Saccharomyces cerevisiae S288C: one gene and its partners. The protein of the gene in region 1 purifies or fractionates together with the protein of each later gene. This does not show direct contact. Each region holds a gene or a part of one and is shown on either strand. Other genes may lie near its edges.

What was found.
Region 2: the proteins of YGR266W (region 1) and NCE102 purify together in Saccharomyces cerevisiae (affinity purification with mass spectrometry, with the first as the bait; one large-scale study listed by BioGRID). This does not show direct contact.
Region 3: the proteins of YGR266W (region 1) and FPR3 purify together in Saccharomyces cerevisiae (affinity purification with mass spectrometry, with the first as the bait; one large-scale study listed by BioGRID). This does not show direct contact.

The regions. Positions count from the first base shown.
Region 1 is NC_001139.9:1,020,987-1,025,421, reverse strand, and holds YGR266W (uncharacterized protein), read right to left. Parts: upstream 2,767-4,435; coding exon 661-2,766; downstream 1-660. Other genes in the region: FOL2 (GTP cyclohydrolase I), read left to right, coding at 1-418; methionine--tRNA ligase MES1, read left to right, coding at 3,569-4,435.
Region 2 is NC_001148.4:828,229-830,971, reverse strand, and holds NCE102 (Nce102p), read right to left. Parts: upstream 1,055-2,743; coding exon 533-1,054; downstream 1-532. UniProt on the Saccharomyces cerevisiae protein: Involved in membrane organization. Required for the formation of membrane compartments of CAN1 (MCCs), localization of CAN1 at the MCCs and subsequent invagination of the plasma membrane at the MCCs sites.
Region 3 is NC_001145.3:119,440-122,854, reverse strand, and holds FPR3 (peptidylprolyl isomerase FPR3), read left to right. Parts: upstream 1-1,530; coding exon 1,531-2,766; downstream 2,767-3,415. UniProt on the Saccharomyces cerevisiae protein: Proline isomerase that belongs to an abundant class of enzymes that catalyze the cis-trans isomerization of X-Pro peptide bonds and can accelerate the refolding of proline-containing polypeptides. Specifically binds nuclear localization sequences.

The DNA of each region.
Region 1 (4,435 bases):
CGATGTCATTAAGAATGCTGTCTTTGAAGAAGATCATGATGAAATGGTTATTGTTCGTGATATTGAAATTTACTCGTTATGTGAACATCATTTGGTGCCATTTTTCGGCAAGGTTCATATCGGGTATATACCAAATAAAAAAGTCATCGGGTTAAGTAAGTTGGCCAGATTGGCAGAAATGTATGCGAGAAGGCTCCAAGTTCAAGAAAGACTTACAAAGCAAATTGCAATGGCCCTAAGTGATATTCTAAAACCATTAGGTGTAGCCGTTGTTATGGAAGCTTCTCATATGTGCATGGTTTCAAGAGGCATTCAAAAAACGGGATCTTCTACGGTAACTTCTTGTATGCTTGGAGGGTTTAGGGCTCATAAAACAAGAGAAGAGTTTTTAACTCTTTTAGGAAGAAGAAGTATTTGAAAAAAAAAAATAAAAGCGACGATATATCGTGTATGTATTAACTAAATTAATAGAGATATACAGGATTAATATCGTTTGAGAAATCTCCATAGAGAAAGGCCACGCGCGACTGAGCTTTTTTTTTTTTCAACAATCAGTATATACATTTACTTCCGGTACAGCATCGCACTTGACAGTCCGTTAGTAATGAATAGAAAAGTTTGAACTGCTAAATAAAAATCTGTAATTATCACAAAACTAAACTATGTGATATTCAGATGTTTGATACCCTTGTGAGACAACCGTTCGCAGGTAACTGTTAACTCTGGAATGGGTAAACAGTAGCTCACAGTTTGTGAGTTTGTTTGATTTGCATCTCTTTCAACATGAATGGTGGTAAACAAGCCACCAGAAGTTACTGGATAAGAGTTAATTTGGTCATCGTTTTCCAATTTCTGTAGCTTTTGCTGTTCTGTGATGATACCAGGAATGACTATATCACCAACCTTTACGCCTAATTCTTTACTCAATTGGGGATTATTCAACAGGTTTTCTATAGGTATAATATCTGACCAGTTTCTCTTGTTCATGAAACATGATTCTTTACGTTTATGTACTCCATCCACTTCCTTGGCAAAAATTGGTACGGCATCTTCATCCGTTTCCAAATCGAAATGATGCAAGCGACATCTTTTTTGCAATAGCGTGGCCATTGCATCTGGCGGTGGGGTATTTACTATGGCGCTAGCAATGATATTAAAAATCAGCCTTACGTCTTTCGTTGGTTCTTCAATAATTCTGGTGTTTTCCTTTTCCTTCTCCTCAGACATGATGAGATGGTGTCTATGAATTTTTGCCCTAAATCTCCCAACAGATGCCAAATGTACATCGCCTGATAATATGGTTATTCTGACGCCATATTTAGCACCTATGTCTTGCAATTTCATTATCAAGTAGTTTCTTTCTTTTTTATGATGTCTCGCGCACCAATGATCATTTAAATCATCCAACAGTTCTACATCTCCATTAAATTCGTTAACGAAGCCACTAGCAAATATCCCTTTTTTAGATAAATATTTAATTGGAGCCAGTAGTTTTGAGGTAAAAAGCCATTCTAACCATACTAACCTTGGATATGCAATCGGGATACCGAGCATCAGCAATAAGTGGCCACCTTTTAAATTTTTTATTTCCCTTTCGACACGTTCCCAAATTAAGGAATAACTTCTTTCTGAGAAAATCTCGTGTAATTTCCTCTCAGTTCTACAGTCCAACCCTAACATGGCCATTTTCGGACCCAACCAAGAGAATATTGAGTGAGACCTTTCACCGATATAAGAACTCCCTTTTTCATTACCTAGAATCCATTGTTTGCTCTTGAGATAAGCATACTCATCGCCATCTTGTTTAGAAGCACTGACATGCTGCTGGAAAAGCATATAGTATCGGTAAGCCATTCTTCCCACTGTGAGGAAATTTTCAGTCTTCATGAAGGAATCGTTGTACGATCCATAGCCATCAATAATATCGTGGTCATCCCAGACATTAATGGCAGGAATACAAGCTAGTGACTTGACAAAGCATTTTTGGGTGGTCTTGGATTTTGGGGTAGAACCATACCAGTGACCGTAACCGTACCAGTTTAAATAGTGTTCTAAATAAAACTGCCTAATCTGCTCTTTTGTTTCTTCAGTGGTCTGAGTATTATACTTCTTAATTGGGTCCTTTGTCTCCAGCCAAGCTTTAAGATTTGGCGCATGCAGTTTAATATTATCGGAGTAAATTTGATCTCCGCCGCCGAGAATGGCATGATAATGAACGTATCGATGCTTTTTAAGGACATCATACCATAGAGAACCTTTGAATTTCGATGTATCTACGCTCAGTGAAAATCCGTTGCATGAATAGGAGATAACGTTCGAATTTTGAGTGAAAGAGGGAACGAAGAACCTATAATGTGGTTCCATAGTACCGTCAACAGCATATTTTACCATCTGCTCATAGTTGGACATGGGCAACTTAATCTCATACCTGTAAAACCATATATTATCATCTTTTAAAATGTCCTTATGAAAAAGTTTACCTTCGAAGAATGCCTCGTTAACTTCGATGTCTTCATCCTCAGAGGGCAAAGAGGGCCCTAGCTGATAGGTAATTTTCGGAAAGTTTTCCTCGCCTCTAACTACCACCATAATAGACCCCTCGTAGGTTTTTTCCTTAAAATCCATGTTGATGAGTCTTAATATCGGTCCACATATAATACCAGACTTTGGAATTGGCGAAGTTTCGGAACAGTCATCGCAGCCAGTGACATCGTCTCTATAAAGAGCTTCTGGGTTCCAATCGTCGAACCAGTTTGTAGCATGCATTTTTGTAGCAGTGTTTATTTTCAATTGAGTACTTTGAACCCGGTAGCAACTGTTTTGACCTTCTGTAGGACTTTCCCCTCACTAACTTTGTGGAATTTCTTTTCATTTTTACTAATGGACCCTTCGCTATGTAGCCGTGCCGATAAAAATATATTCCTGGTATTACCCGACGCTGCTATTTCAACTTTTTTCAATAAAAGGACGAAAAAATAACATGTTTAATCTTGAGACCTTCTGGGTTAAGTTTATTGATAGAGATTAAGTACTAGTTTAAAACGTCTCAGGCATAAAACATGAATTATGCTAACTTTTTAGCTACAGCGGACATAGTTGTACAAACTGAGGAAAGGCTTCTTTAACCAGGGATTTTGAAGTAGGAATTGTTGAAGTCAAAAATGGGAACCTATGGAGGGGAATTCAAAAGGCATGAAGTCAAAAGATTAACATAATATAATTCAACTTTGAAAAATATTCTAGTCAAAGCTTTCCCGAGAACGCGTAGCGTGATGATAATGGTGTATCCTATCGATCTGTCGACTTGCTATGATTATCTTTGTTAGCCGCCGAAACGATCATTTATGCATTGCCCGAGTATAGTCACTTCTTCTCAATATCACGAGGCACGAATGATTTCGGAGGCAGAAAAAATTTCTGTACGCAACTTATCGAAAGAGAAAACGAAAAAAAAAAAAAGACGATGACAAATTTTCTTCGATGTCTAATGTTAATGATGATTTGCTTCCTGATATGCATCTTTGTGGAGGAATAAAACTTGAAAAAAAAGCGGAAATTTACAACAAGCATGTCTTTCCTCATTTCCTTTGATAAATCGAAGAAACATCCTGCCCATTTGCAGTTAGCGAACAATTTGAAGATTGCCCTAGCACTTGAATATGCAAGCAAAAATTTAAAGCCTGAAGTTGACAATGATAATGCTGCCATGGAATTGCGCAATACAAAGGAACCTTTCCTTTTGTTTGATGCTAACGCTATTCTAAGATATGTCATGGATGATTTTGAAGGTCAAACTTCCGACAAGTATCAATTTGCATTGGCATCTTTACAAAACCTGTTATATCATAAAGAATTACCTCAACAACATGTCGAGGTTTTGACAAATAAGGCCATTGAAAATTACTTGGTCGAATTAAAAGAACCATTGACTACTACAGATTTGATCCTGTTTGCTAACGTTTATGCTCTAAATTCTTCTTTAGTTCATTCTAAATTCCCAGAATTGCCATCCAAAGTGCATAACGCTGTAGCATTGGCTAAAAAGCATGTTCCACGTGATTCTTCTTCTTTCAAAAACATCGGCGCAGTGAAAATCCAAGCTGACTTAACAGTTAAGCCAAAGGATTCAGAAATTTTGCCTAAGCCAAACGAAAGAAACATCTTGATCACTTCGGCATTACCTTATGTCAACAACGTTCCACACTTGGGTAATATCATCGGTAGTGTTCTTTCAGCAGACATTTTTGCTCGTTACTGTAAGGGACGTAATTATAATGCCTTGTTTATTTGTGGTACTGATGAATATGGTACTGCCACGGAAACTAAAGCTTTGGAGGAAGGTGTGACACCAAGACAATTATGTGACAAATATCACAAAATCCACAGTGACGTTTACAAGTGGTTCCAAATTGGATTTGATTATTTCGGTAGAACT
Region 2 (2,743 bases), on another chromosome or scaffold:
ACAAAACTATTAATTTTTGTAACCGATTTGAACTCACATTAGGGATCCACGTCACGCCGTGCGCGGAACGGTAGGATGAAAAAGGATAAACAGAACTTACATACAAAAAACTCAAATCAACGCAACAGGTATGTAGTGAAGTAAAACTAGACAAAGAGAAGGATACTTTAGTTAGATATAAGAATAGTATGAAAAGATTAAAAATTAAAATATTAGAAGAACAAATTATAATAAAAGAAAGCGGGGTGAATGATAATAATAATAATAATAATAATAATATTAGTTAGAAATAAGACTTCTTCATAATCGTTAATGAAGAAGTGCATATGATTTGTTATTTTTTTTCTGGTATTTTTTTCATTTTTTTCGGGTTTTCCTTGGGTATAATTTTTTGTTTCTTCCGAAAGACGGAAAGGGATGAGGGAAAACGGAGTTTTCTTATTTGCTTTCTTTTTTCCCTAATTTATTCACGGTGTCCATTTATTATATTCTTAATTGAAAGTGGCGTAAAATTTAAGTTGGTGCGCTTCAATTAGACTTGGGAAATGGTTGGAACACCGACTTGGCCAGTTCTTCTTCTCTTGGAGAAAGAACCAGAACCAAAGGCACCATTGGAGATCATGTTGAAAACAGACATCAGGGTCTTAGCCAAAAAGATGGCACAAGAGAAGTAGAGGAATGCAACAGCGGCTTGAGCTTGTCTACATCTGGTACCGGAACCTTGAGTAATCTTGTTACTGTCAACGTATGAGCTGTTGTTACATGAGTGAGCTCTGATACCAACGGCCAACACTGTACCGGCAGTGAAAGTGAACACAAAGTTCAAAAAGTCCAGTGTGAACAAAACTAGTGGCCATGCCAATGGTTCAATGAAGTTGGCAAAGACACCGTACAATGAATCGGTGAATATACCATATGCACAAGCAAACATACAGTAGTTTACTCTGGAGCTGTGCCTATGTTGGGTGTTTAACAACGAACTGATTAAACCGATGGAAATAACCAAAAATAGGAAATTTATTATACGTAGAATGTTATCAGCTAGGGCTAGCATTATGGGATTATATTGTTATTAGGTATGCTTTGAGAAGAAAAGTTTTTTTAACCGATTTTTCTTATTGAAGATGTTTTTTAAAGAAATGTTTATTTATCCTTTTAAAAAAGCGCGATGAGCAGAAAAATTAAAAATGTAAAACCTTTTCAATTGTATTTTTTCTTGATCAATTGCGAACAAAATAGTGGTATAAGTTAAATTTTCTTAAAAAAAAAAAAGGAGACGTAGAAGAAGAAAGAAAAAAGTATCTTTTAATTACAAAACAAAGACTCTTTTATAAAGGAAAATCTGACAGAAGATTGGGGCCAAGGAATTTATAGGGGTATGATTTTTCTGTATACATATATGAGGAAGAGGGGAGGGAAATGGAAGAAGAAGTAGGAAGAAAAAAAAATCAAACCAATTCTAGTCAATTCCGTTAAGGCAGCAAGCTGCCCATAAGTTTCTGTGAGGGGGCGATCACTTTTATGTTTTGGGCATTTTAATTATGACGCAGAGGTCCGCGGACAAGGGGTTTGCGATGGACCTTTTAAAGCAACCTTGGGCCTACCTCAGGGAAATGCCCCTACCAACGTCACTAACGGGCGTGTGCCAAATGGGCCGATGCTCAGATGCGGCCGTTAAAATGGGGGTGGTGTTTCGGGGCCCCGTCCGTATGTGGAAATACCAAAACAGTAGGGACATGCATCCTTACATCATCCGGTCAATCATCAGGGTAATACATATTTTATACTTAATCCGAGATTCGGACCCCTAGTGACAGAATTAACCGCATAGAACCTCTCAAGCCCGTTTACAAACAAAAGCCGCATTGCATTCTCCTTCATGGGATGGTTTATCGAAATAGTTGGAATTCATTCAACAAGGATGTGATGCAACTACACAACAGTATGCTGAATGAAGGCCTATGGAAATAGCCGGGAGGAGGCAACAGTTCCTTTGTATCGGCAATCGGGCTCCGCGAGAAAGCCGCGTATTCCTCCTGGCTGCTTCCTTTCTCACCGCTGCCGAAAAGCTTAATTATCTGTATAGTTTGTTCCGATGAGCGAAACGGCGTTAACATCAAGGGTTAAGGTAGGGAAAGTGGGAATGACGAGAATTTTTTGCTACGCTTTTTTAGCAATTTAGTTTTGGAAATATTGTGGCTGCTCTTAATTGTCCGCCTAAGGAAAAGACATGAGCAACTATGCAACATAGGACAAAAGAAAGAAGAAAAAAGGAGATCTCCGGAGAGGCAGGCGGCTTTGCCGTTGATTGTAATCTCTTTGTTCAGGAAATTGATATAGTTAATTGTATATGGGATTAGCAGTTCTATTTCATGGATTGCAAATCAAACGTGTGGCTCCTCGAGCGGTAGAGACATCTTTCCCGCTGATGTGTGCAACTTCATATATGTTCATATATGAAATTACGTTTGATTGGGCAAACATATTCCTGCTTTAATAAATATACTCAATTGTTGCAGTTCGTGAAAATTGTAACACCACCTTGAAGTGCATTTCACGAGTGTGTAACTGGGCATTTTATGAAACTTCTTGAGTACTACTTGTGTAAAGAAAGCGAGGTTAGCAGTTTAGTTAGTTGGCTCTGCATCGCTTTTAACGAGGATTACTTCTCACTCTTAAATCGCTAGTTGGCTTTTTTTAGCACTCGACACGCATATCCCAGTTTTGGTTTTCATTTCTCTTG
Region 3 (3,415 bases), on another chromosome or scaffold:
GAAGAGAGATTTTTAAACAAAAAGTAAATGGTTTTAAACGTTGGCAATAACAAGGCCTGCTCACAGCAAATAAAACGGGAATAGAACAGGAACGGGAATAGAACAAAGATAAGAAAATTGAAAGTAGAAAAGACAAATAGTGAGAAACAAAATGCAAGAGAAAATGCATCGCTTGAGCCCAATGTTCCTACCAATATTAAGGGGATTTCAGGTATCAAAGTCGCATTGACGTATAAAATACTCCAAAAAATGCGCTCTGTTTACTTTGTTATCTATGAAATGAGGAAAATGCAACCGGTGAGTGTAAAAGCATCCTGCAGGAATTTGTTACAACTTCATCTCAGTTACCAACATAGCCAACGGACGTCGATATTGTCCTTTACCCCACTGGTAGTGAAATACTTTCGAGTAAATGTCAGGACGTTAGAAATCATCCGAGTCATGCTTCGACTCCATGTATTTTTATTCTCTAAGTGTGCTTTGGAGTTTCCCCGCGAGTTCTCACAGAATTGGCTTTACTGCCAAAAGTTGAAGACAGCATAGTCATTGGCTTCGTCAAAAGATCTTCATTATTTAAAGCAAGCAATGATCAATTCTAAGACGGGTTAACAAAATATGGACAGAGCATCTTCAAGCAAAACTAATGCGGCAATGTTAAGCTTACATATATTCGAACGGTAATAACATCGATAATACGGTTATAGCCACCAACTCTGCATTATAGAAATGAGAAAAGCGCCATAGCTATTATTTAACGTAACTTACCAGAAGTCCTTGAGCAGACGATTGAGCATTGAATAAAAAATAAAATTCTTGTAATTCTTGGAAGGAAGAACGACACAAATAGATAAATGGCGTATTTTCTGAGCAATGAACTGTGTTCCATCAAAAACATTTTATCGCACACCATAGGCACTTAGAAAAACAAACCTTTGTGCCAGTATTTGAATGAAAACACTTTGGTTGAAATGTATTGTGAAATTAATCATCGAGCACTTTACGGTTGGCAACGACACATTACTGACGTTCTTTCGCCGATTTGTTACTTTAATATATTGTACAAAAATGCATCAAAGAACATAAAAGAGAGCGATCGCACAATCAAACTTCTTTTGGAAATAATCTGTCATCAATGCTCCAAACATTCTACTATCACCTGTTCATGATATTATGGGGAGAATATGCCAAATGTATATGACACATCGCATACTTTCTACCTTTTTCAACTGGCTTGCTTCCTCTACCTTTCACTAAAATCTGGATTGCATCTACATCTATATAGTCAAAACCGGCAAGAACAGAGATTATGATACATGCTTCATGTTCCATTGATTAGAATCCACTAGTATTAGCTCGCTGTTCAATTTTCAGCCCTCTACGGACTGTCGTCATTCCTAAAGGACGGCAAAATTTAAAAGTGAAGGTAAAATTTTTAAATTCGAAAAAAGAGCCTACTAACACGTTTCTATATAATACATAATTGTGTGAAAGTTCATACATAATTGAAAGCAAGCATCCAACCAGCCCAATATGTCTGATTTGTTACCACTAGCTACCTACAGTTTGAATGTTGAACCTTATACCCCGGTTCCAGCAATCGACGTCACGATGCCCATCACCGTTCGTATTACTATGGCTGCTTTGAACCCGGAAGCCATCGATGAAGAGAACAAACCATCGACTTTAAGAATTATCAAAAGAAACCCGGACTTTGAAGATGATGATTTTTTAGGTGGTGATTTTGATGAAGACGAAATAGACGAAGAATCCTCTGAGGAAGAAGAAGAGGAAAAAACCCAAAAGAAAAAGAAGAGTAAAGGCAAGAAGGCTGAAAGTGAAAGTGAGGATGATGAAGAAGACGATGACGAGGACGATGAGTTCCAAGAATCCGTCCTTTTGACTTTATCTCCGGAAGCCCAATACCAACAATCTTTGGACTTGACCATTACTCCAGAAGAAGAAGTCCAATTCATTGTCACTGGTTCTTACGCTATCTCCTTGAGCGGTAACTATGTTAAGCATCCATTTGATACTCCAATGGGAGTCGAAGGTGAAGACGAAGATGAAGACGCTGACATCTATGACAGTGAAGACTACGACTTGACCCCAGATGAGGATGAAATTATTGGCGACGACATGGACGACTTGGATGACGAAGAGGAAGAAGAAGTTCGTATTGAAGAAGTCCAAGAAGAAGATGAAGAAGATAATGATGGAGAAGAAGAACAAGAAGAAGAAGAAGAAGAAGAACAAAAAGAAGAAGTTAAGCCAGAACCTAAGAAAAGCAAAAAGGAAAAAAAGAGAAAGCACGAAGAGAAAGAAGAAGAAAAGAAAGCTAAAAAAGTAAAGAAGGTCGAATTCAAGAAGGACTTAGAGGAGGGTCCAACAAAACCCAAAAGCAAAAAGGAACAAGATAAGCATAAACCAAAGAGTAAGGTTTTGGAAGGCGGCATAGTAATCGAAGACCGTACTATCGGTGATGGCCCACAGGCTAAGAGAGGTGCCAGAGTAGGCATGAGGTACATTGGTAAGTTAAAGAACGGTAAAGTTTTCGACAAGAACACCAGCGGTAAACCATTTGCATTCAAACTTGGCCGTGGTGAAGTTATCAAAGGCTGGGACATTGGTGTTGCCGGTATGTCTGTTGGTGGCGAACGTAGAATCATCATTCCAGCACCATATGCCTACGGGAAGCAAGCTCTGCCAGGTATTCCTGCCAATTCCGAACTGACATTCGACGTTAAATTGGTTTCTATGAAAAACTAGTACACGCGCTCGTACGGATAGATGTTTATATATATTATTCTTTTTACATAATATTGTAACCTTCTGTATGTAAATCCGAAAACATTCTATTTCTTTTTAGTATCTATTGCTCTTTATAAGCTTTTCATTTTACTTTTCTCCGCGGATGATACAAATAAAGAAGCTGTGTTGTATAGAAAGAAATATATGGCGGCAAAAAAAGCGTTATCTTCTTTCTGTTCCTATTTCACTGAGTGCTACTGGATGGTCGTCAAGAAAGGTGAAGAAATCTTCAAAGCAATAAGAATTCAGACATTGACGTTAAATTAGATTATCGCCGCAGCTGTAATTGCGGTTATGGCCTCTAGTATTTAGTTCGATGTTAATGAAATAAAGCGCAAGCTGACTGTGAACGATAACCGCCAGGAAGGCTAGACACAGCTCTTCAGCTAAACAGTAGCCGGAACACATATACATTAGGGAACATTAGAAATAAGGCTCTCGTTGATCATCCTTGTAACTGAAAATTAGAACCGTTAAACGCTGCTGATTGATGGATTCCAGCCGTTCTCTTCCAACCCCTTTTACCCCGATTGTTCGTCCACTATCATGACTTATTATCCACTAAAGTGGCGTTGGCTGTACATTCGGGTGATGGTAGTATGGTGAG